2 linked regions of the Canis lupus familiaris genome follow. Each later gene encodes a partner of the first gene's protein in a complex. Links are inferred from orthologs where the notes say so. Each region holds a gene or a part of one and is shown on either strand. Other genes may lie near its edges.

What was found.
Region 2: PIGA (region 1) and PIGY share a complex: the UniProt entries of both Homo sapiens proteins name them as parts of the glycosylphosphatidylinositol-N-acetylglucosaminyltransferase (GPI-GnT) complex. The link is inferred for Canis lupus familiaris from reciprocal best matches to the Homo sapiens genes PIGA and PIGY.

The regions. Positions count from the first base shown.
Region 1 is NC_049260.1:11,624,940-11,628,944, forward strand, and holds the start of PIGA (phosphatidylinositol N-acetylglucosaminyltransferase subunit A), read right to left. Parts: upstream 2,801-4,005; 5' UTR 2,451-2,800; intron 292-2,450; 5' UTR 230-291; coding exon 1-229. UniProt on the Homo sapiens protein: Catalytic subunit of the glycosylphosphatidylinositol-N-acetylglucosaminyltransferase (GPI-GnT) complex that catalyzes the transfer of N-acetylglucosamine from UDP-N-acetylglucosamine to phosphatidylinositol and participates in the first step of GPI biosynthesis.
Region 2 is NC_049253.1:28,141,915-28,146,149, forward strand, and holds the start of PIGY (phosphatidylinositol N-acetylglucosaminyltransferase subunit Y), read left to right. Parts: upstream 1-1,435; 5' UTR 1,436-1,523; coding exon of another isoform or gene 1,524-1,726; intron 1,727-3,895; coding exon of another isoform or gene 3,896-4,037; 5' UTR 4,038-4,130; coding exon 4,131-4,235. Other genes in the region: PYURF (protein preY, mitochondrial), read left to right, coding at 1,524-1,726, 3,896-4,037. UniProt on the Homo sapiens protein: Part of the glycosylphosphatidylinositol-N-acetylglucosaminyltransferase (GPI-GnT) complex that catalyzes the transfer of N-acetylglucosamine from UDP-N-acetylglucosamine to phosphatidylinositol and participates in the first step of GPI biosynthesis.

The sequences.
Region 1 (4,005 bases):
GATTTCCGTAAGCATGGGTGACAATTATGACTTTGTGCCCTCTTTCAATCAGGCACTGAGAGAGCTGGTAAATGTGGCTTTCCACGCCTCCCATGTTAGGATAGAAAAAGTCCGACACCATGCATATATTATGGGTACGGGTCCTATATGCTGAGAGACTTCCAGGGCTAACACGGGGGAGCACAGATGAGCGAGGCTGGCCATGCCCACCTCCTCCTCTATAGGCCATGCTGAGATGGTTTAGGCATTTGTCCTTAGAGCAACTCGATTAAGATGTGTGTCGTCTAGTACCTGAAAAAGAGAGTAAAACAAGATCTCAGCTCAGAGACAAAATACATTACGTTTTCCAAATCCAGATGTAAACAGTTTTATGCTAATGTAAATTTGCTAGGTTTCCCCCTAAAAATGAAAGTAAGTGACTTGCTTAGTACTTGCTTAGTACTTACTATGTGCCATACAACAAAACTAGATTCCACAATGCCCTTATATTTTAATTTTGCTTAAAAAACACTGCAACACATAATTTAAAAAAATGAGTTTGTTATGTCACAGTATATAAGAATGTGCTCTGCTAGCAAACCAGTTCATTCCAGTAATTAAATACATGACTCTTTACAGAAAGTTAGCCAGCCCTGCTCTAGAGCTTAGCCACTGACCCAATGAATCTCATACAATTCTGCTATTTACTTTGCGGTTTAAACTAAAATACACCTGGAGCTAGAACTTTTTTTAAGAATTTATTTATTTATTTGACAGAGATCACGAGAGAGCACAAGCAGGGAGAGGGAGAGGGAGAAGTAGGCTCCCCGCTGGGCAGAGAGCGGGAAGCAAGGGTCGATCCCAGGAAGGGCTCTGGGATCATGACCCAAGCCAAAGGCAGTCGCTCAACTGACTGAGCCACCCAGGCGCCCCTAGAACTGTCTTTTTCAAGTACTGCCTACAGCACATGCTGCAGACATTTATCTACATTTTCCTCTTCCTTATTCAAGGCTGGTAATAAGCTGCTCCTTTCATGTTCTTAACCTTTCTTTCAGTTATGGAGGCCTTTCTTCCAGGAATATCCCTGTCTTTAGTTCGAAGTTAAAAGACAAAGGCTCAATTCAAGATGGACCCGATGTGGGGCCATTTTCTACATCTAAAGGAGGAAATATGGATCTCAGGGGTCTCCTAGATCCTCCCTCATCAGCAGAAAATGCTCACTCGATATTCAGTACTATTACAGATTCTCACTTTTAAAGCTAAAAATAAAAAATAAAAAAAAAGCAACAGAGTGTCTTGGAAAACCAGTGAAATCTTCCTCAGATTTACAAATGAGATTTCCACACTTCCAGAAACTGAACTACACAATGGAAAGCGATCCTAAAGGTCTGAATTTCCGATTTCACTTGTAAACGCAGGAAATGTAAATTAACTGCCTGTATAAACTCTTAATTCTTGGCAACGAAGTCATCTATATTTTAAATCTATTCTCAGAAATACTCAATAAGTGTTTTTTGACCTGAATTTACTATTTAAGATTCAAGACTACCAAATATTGAGATTCCTCAGGTCTGTCCTTTTAAGTGGTTTCAGTACATTTTCTTACTGTGGTTTGTCACCTAAACCTGAATTTCCAGTTGTACTCAACTTAAAAAGGTGATTTAAAAAAAAAAAAAAAGGGAGTCAAGAACCACATGAATTTATCTGAAGTTCTGTCATTAACCTGCAAACGTTCTGAGGCGCCTGCCTACTTCCACCGGGTTATCACGCCTAACATCTTTATGGCGTAAAAGCTCAACAAATGGAACAACCACAGAATCTTAGATTTTAGAGCCGACAAGAGGCTTGGAGATCCAGGAATACCTCGCTTGCTTTACAAAAGAGAAGCCAAGCAAGTTGAGCGATTTGACTAAGGTCTCCACCCAGCCACTTTAGTGACAAATGCGAATGGCCGTAAATTTACAACCATCCAGAGCCAACGAGTCCCCGGGGAGTCAGCAGGAGAGGCTCCCGAGGAGCCTTAGGGAGACCTCGCGGGGGCTTGGGTCTGGAGGACGGTGCTTTCACACCCACCCCCGGGGCAATGCCCCAGCTTCACTCTGAGAGGTCACCGGGGAGCGCCAGGGCCAAGGGAGGGACGACCCCGCTCAATCAACGACCCCGTTGGAGACAAGCAGGGTCTCGCCAGGCCCAAAAGGAGGAAGATAGCCAGACCGTGAGCAGGGGTCTGAGGCTGGGGGTCCGGGAACCCTGCAACCTGCCCGCCTCAGTCTCCGCGGCACCGGCTCCAGCGCGGCCGCCACAGCGCACCCTCAGCCCCACTCGAGTCCGGAGGCTCTCGCCCCCGACTTCCGAGCTTCAAAGCCTCCCGGGCTTTGCCCCTTCCATCGCCGGCCACACTCCCACGGGTGCAGCCCAGTCCCATCCGGAAGCGGCCGAGAGTGCCGGCGCAGGGTCAGACGCGCACTTACCGGCAAGTCCCATGGCCGCCAGTGTCCGGACCTCCCGCGGCTGCGGCCAGAGTCCCACCCCGCTGCCCCGAAACACCAATCAGAGGCGTCCGCGCCCGAGCGCCGCGCCCCCGAGGCGGCCAATCAGAAAGGTGCGCTGGAGTCACGTGCAGGAGCACCGCTCAGTCTCCACCTTTCAGCGCTGGCTGTAACGTCAGCGCGCGTAGGCACATGTTTTCGCAATATTCGGGGAGACTTGTTTTTCTCTGCATCGAAAGTAATACTCCTCGGTTGGACTTTTTATATGAATTCTTAGGGTGGCGAACCTCTAGAAACGGGCCCTGGTCTCTTCTTACACAAGCAGCCTACCAGGAGCCTTCCGGAGGGTAAAGTCAGAAATCCCAGCGTGACTCGCAGCGAGTCTCTAGGGCTGCTGGGAGTTGTAGTCTGGTGGCCTTCGGAAGCGAAGCTGAACTTAGAAAACTCACTCCCAGGATGCACCGCACTTCTAAACCTGAATTTTGCAGAAGGTCGGGTGGTTCGCGTCTTGGTTGCCTAGTTACAGCGTCCCCTTTTCTGGAAGCCGGTACTCTCTGGCTTCGGATCGGACTTTTGGGGCGGAAGGCCACCCGGGTCGTGGTGGCGCTGTGTTTGTGATTATCTGTCACAGCAGAACCGTGCTGCTGGGGTTGCCTGAGGTAAATAATTAAAATCACACACTTAAAATAAAAGCAAAGTTTAGAAAAATTTGGATTTCAGATCACTTTTATACAAGTATGCCCCAAACATTGGCGACCTTACTAAAAAGTTACCCTTGTTTATCTCAAATTCAAACTTAACTGCGTAGCTTGTATTTTATCTGGCCACCCTACACCGAAGAAAAAAAATCTGAGGTCTGACCTGAAATATCAACTCCCACTGAAACTGGTTCAACTGGCTATGATGGTGCTTGGCTAGTGAATCCGTGGAAGTGGTGTGATGGCCATCCAACCCTTCCATTTGGTGCTTGGAGTTCCCCCAGCTCTGCCATGCGTACACTTTCGAGAACAGATGCCTTCCCGAGCACCATCACTGGCACCCCCCCTTTTTTTTAATGTTTATTTATTTGTGATAGTCACACACACACACACACACACACACACACACACACACACACACAGAGGCAGAGGGAGAAGCAGGCTCCATGCAGGGAGCCCGACGTGGGATTCGATCCCGGGTCTCCAGGATGGCGCCCTGGGCCAAAGGCAGGCGCTAAACCGCTGCGACTGGCACCCCTTTTAAGCCTGTAGAAAGCCTCTGCATCCCCTGAAGATTTCAGCTCCTTTCTGATGCCGTTTTCCAAGCCTCCCGAGGGAATTAAATCCTTCCTCCTTTGTATTTTTATAGTACTTTGGCCATATGCTGGCATAGCAGTTGTCAGGTGATATTCAAGTTGTTTGCCTGTCTGCTAGCCCCCTTCCTCCTCAACCTGATCCTCCCAGGCGGGTCTTCTTGGGATCTCACACTGACTTCTTTCTGAAAACTGGAAATTGAATTTGCTTGTTAAATGTCTGCCATTCTAGCCAGATAGTAAGCT
Region 2 (4,235 bases), on another chromosome or scaffold:
AGCACAATGTACTGGAAAGAACAGAGGACGTAAAAATAACAATAGAGAACATTAATTGAGCATTAACTCAATTGTTAATTGTCCGGATCACTCTTCTAAATATTCTTTGCCTGCAAGATCCCATTTGAATGCCCACAAGGAGATTTCATGAGGTAGGTGCCATTATCTTATCATACAATAAAGAAACTGAGTGGGGGGATCCCTGGGTGGCGCAGCGGTTTGGCGCCTGCCTTTGGCCCAGGGCGCGATCCTGGAGACCCGGGATCGAATCCCACATCGGGCTCCCGGTGCATGGAGCCTGCTTCTCCCTCTGCCTGTGTCTCTGCCTCTCTCTCTCCTCTCTCTCTCTCTCTCGCTGATGACTATCATAAATAAATAAATTAATTTAAAAAAATTAAAAAAAAAAAAAAAGAAACTGGGTAAGTCGTTGGCTGGACTTACACAGCTAGTAAAGCACGGACCAGAAACCGAGCTGCCAGGCCCCAGAGCCCAACCCTTCCTTCATGGTAAGAAAGAGATCAAGCCTGAGACCACTTCCCTAGAGCACCAGATGCAAACCTGGCGCGGAAAATCCACTGAGCGGATTTGCCATCCAACTAAGGTACATCCACCCGCTTGGTTGCACAGTTGCTCAGACTCCTTGCTGTCACCAGCTCATTTATAAACTGGCTGCGCTTTATGATGCAGTTGAATTCACAGTAGAAGCTGGACTTCTGGGAGGTTAAGAGGCCTATGCTATTCTTTTCAGGCTCTAAAGTTTCTTTGTGTGTGTGTGTGTGTGTGTTTTAAGATTTTATGTATTTATTCATGAGAGACACACAGAGAGAGAGAGAGGCCGAGACACGGGCAGAGGGAGAAGCAGGCGCCCCGCGCGGAGCCTGATGCGGGACTCGATCCCAGGACCCGGGGTCAGGCCTGAGCTAGACTCTACCCCCTGACCTTGGGATCACGACCTCAGCCGAAGGCAGACGCTCATCCACTGAGCCACCCAGGGGCCCCTCAAGTTTTCATTTAATAAGAAAAGGGCGGGGAGGGGGGAAAGGTTACAGGTGCTATGGTAATTTACATAAAACAAATCCATGCTTTTAAGATACCCAATACGTGTTCGAAACCTCATTCTGGAGATGACCACGTAGGTGCAAGCTTAACCCTGTGGGACTCTGAGATCCGGCCACCGGCTTCCTGGCTCCCCTGCGATGAGCCCTGGTGAAAACCCAAAATGCCCCCAATTCAAGCCCTGGCTTTGTCAGTCATCGGTAAACGCGGCGAACAGCCACTGGAGCCCCGCGGCTACGGGCCCCGCCGTAACTACCGAGCGGTGGGCGGGAAGAAGCAGTCGCGTCAGCAGCGCCCCCGGAACCCAAGGGCTGCCTCCTGCCCGCCCGCCCGGGGACCGCATTCCCGCAGCACCGGGGGCGGGGCCTGGCGGGCGGCGGGGCCGGCTGCGCGGGGAGCGGCTGAAGCGGCGGAAGCGGCTGAAGCGGCCGGGCGCTGGCAGGGCGGCGGGTGCGGGCTGCCAGACCATGCTGAGCGGAGCGTGCGGCCGGCTCGCCTCAGCACTGCGGGGGCCGCGCGGGCCGTCGTTCGCGGTCGCCCGCAGGCGCCTTCACGCGTCGGGGTCGCGGCGGCCCTCAGACAAGAGCGAGAGGACGGGAGGCCCGCCCCGCGCCTTCGACCCGGCGCTGCTCGAGTTCCTGGTGTGCCCGCTCTCCAAGAAGCCGCTCAGGTGAGATTCCCGGCGGCCGGCCTCGGTTCGCGCGGCCGCTCACGGCCCTGGGGAGCCCTTCGGCTCGGGCCGGGGTTGCCCGCAGCCATTTTGTGGCCCCGGGCCCTGCGGCTACCAGGCTCCGCCCACTGCGGCGGGAAGGGCGGGGGAGGGGGGAGGCGGGCGCGAGCCGATCCCGGGCCGCTCGGATCCCACCGCCGAGGCGCGGCTGGAAGCCTTGGAAGGTTCCGCGCTGGCCGCGCGGTCGCCTCGCCGGGGGAACTTTTTTTTTTTTTTTTTTTTAAATGCCGATTCGGGTGCGCCGGCGCCGACCGACCCAGTCAGCCGGGCTGGGGGCCGGACTAGCGCGAGGCGTTTTCTTAAAAGGACCTAAGTGGTTCTCGCGCGCCGCCAGGTTTAGGAACTGTTGGGAGTCGGGACTGGCCCGTGGGTGTGAGGTTTTTAAGCCAAGATGGTGAAAAATGACTAAAAATTCTTATGGAAATCTACAGCTGATGCGTGACGGCCTTAAACACTTTTAAGCTGCGTGCGCTGCTGCGCCTTTGGCTCTTAGTTCTGGACGGGCTGGGTTTTGCAGAGTCGTAGGGTCTGTCTCCCTGGAATCCTTAGGGAAAACAGCTCAGGGAGGGGAAATAGAAGGAGACGGAATCAGAGAGGGAGACCAACTCTAGGAGACCGACGGAGGGTTGCTGGGGGTGGGGGGATGGGTGACCGGTGACGGGCATTAAGGAGGGCACTTGATGTCATGGGCACTGGGTGTTAGGTTCCACTGATGAAGCACTAAACTCTATCTCTGAACTAATTATACACTGTATGTTAATCAAATGAGGAAAGATTTTATTTATTCATGAGACACACACAGAGAGAGAGGCAGAGACACAGGCAGAGGGAGAAGCAGGCTCCATGCACTGGGAGCCCGACGTGGGACTCGATCCCGGGTCTCCAGGATCACGCCCTGGGCCGAAGGCGGCGCTAAACCGCTGCGCCACCGGGGCTGCCCGAGTTTAAATTTTTTTTTTTTTAAAAGAACTCTGCACCCCCAGGCTACTAAAACTGAACATTGACAACACTAGTTTTGCACCAGACTGTTATCAGTGGTTATTTTGGGTGGTGGATTGCTAGTCATTTTTTTTTTTTCAATCTTTCTACGTTTCTCTTAACGAGATGTTTTCCCATAATGAAGACACTCAATTTTCTTTTTTTTTTTTTTTAATTTTTATTTATTTATGATAGTTACACACACACAGAGAGAGAGAGAGAGGCGCAGAGACACAGGCAGAGGGAGAAGCAGGCTCCATGCACCGGGAGCCCGACGTGGGATTTGATCCCGGGTCTCCAGGATGGCGCCCTGGGCCAAAGGCAGGCGCTAAACCGCTGCGCCACCCAGGGATCCCCACTCAATTTTCTTATACCTTGAAATGACCATTTGATCTACCGTTTAGTTGTGTAACTAGCTGCAGATGCACTGTTTTCAGTTTCCTCGTTTCTGCTCTCTCCTCCTCAAACTTTTATTTTGTATATCTTGATTTTCAGTGGTTTCCTTCCAGTGGTTCAATTAGGTTGCTGTGTTAAGCGTGCATTCTAAAATAGTGGGGAATTTTAATTTTCCTCTAGTGGCTGTTTCAGTAGTAAATTAACTGGGATGGTTTTGGGGTTGACCAGAGTTAGGAAGGAATATTTTGATGAAAAGGGAAGATCTTCTAACTGGATTTTAAAAATACATATTAAGGTGTAGCTCGAGAATAAAATGAAAAAATACAAGAGAAACTGACCAAAATGCAAACAATTAGAGATTCATTTTCTAAGAGAAATGTTTCAGTTGGCTAATACTGTTTTTAGAATTAGAAGCAGTTTTTTATTTTTTTAAAGATCTTATTTATTCATGAGAGACCTACAGAGAGCCAGAGACACAGGCAGAGGTTGAGAAGCAGGCTCCATGCAGGGAGCCCGATGTGGGACTGGATCCCGGGACCCCAGAATCATGCCCTGGGCTGAAGACGGCACCAAACTGCTGAGCCACCCAGGCAACCCTAGAAGCAGTTTAATTCTACTTTTTTGGAATTTAACTCTCTGTCAAGAATTGGATAAATGGTGGTGTTTATTGAAGACCACGCACTTCTAAGCATTTTATTTTCCACAATTCATTTTGTTTTTCTTTTCCCCCCTCAGATATGAAGCATCGACAAATGAATTGATTAATGAAGAGTTGGGAATAGCCTATCCAATTATTGATGGGATTCCTAATATGATACCACAGGCAGCTAGGATGACACATCAGAATAAGAAGCAAGAAGAAACGGAGCAGCACTAGATCACAATTAAAAGCAACGCCTACAACTGCATTTTCTTAATACTACTTAATTTTTTAAAAGTCAGAGTGGCAGGTAATAAGCGGGGGAGAAGAATGTTTCTGTCTCTTCCTACGTTGACTGTCCTTATTCCATTGGTCTCTTTAGCAGGACTGTTCTACTCAGCTTCTGTGGAGGAAAACTTTCCACAGGGCTGCACT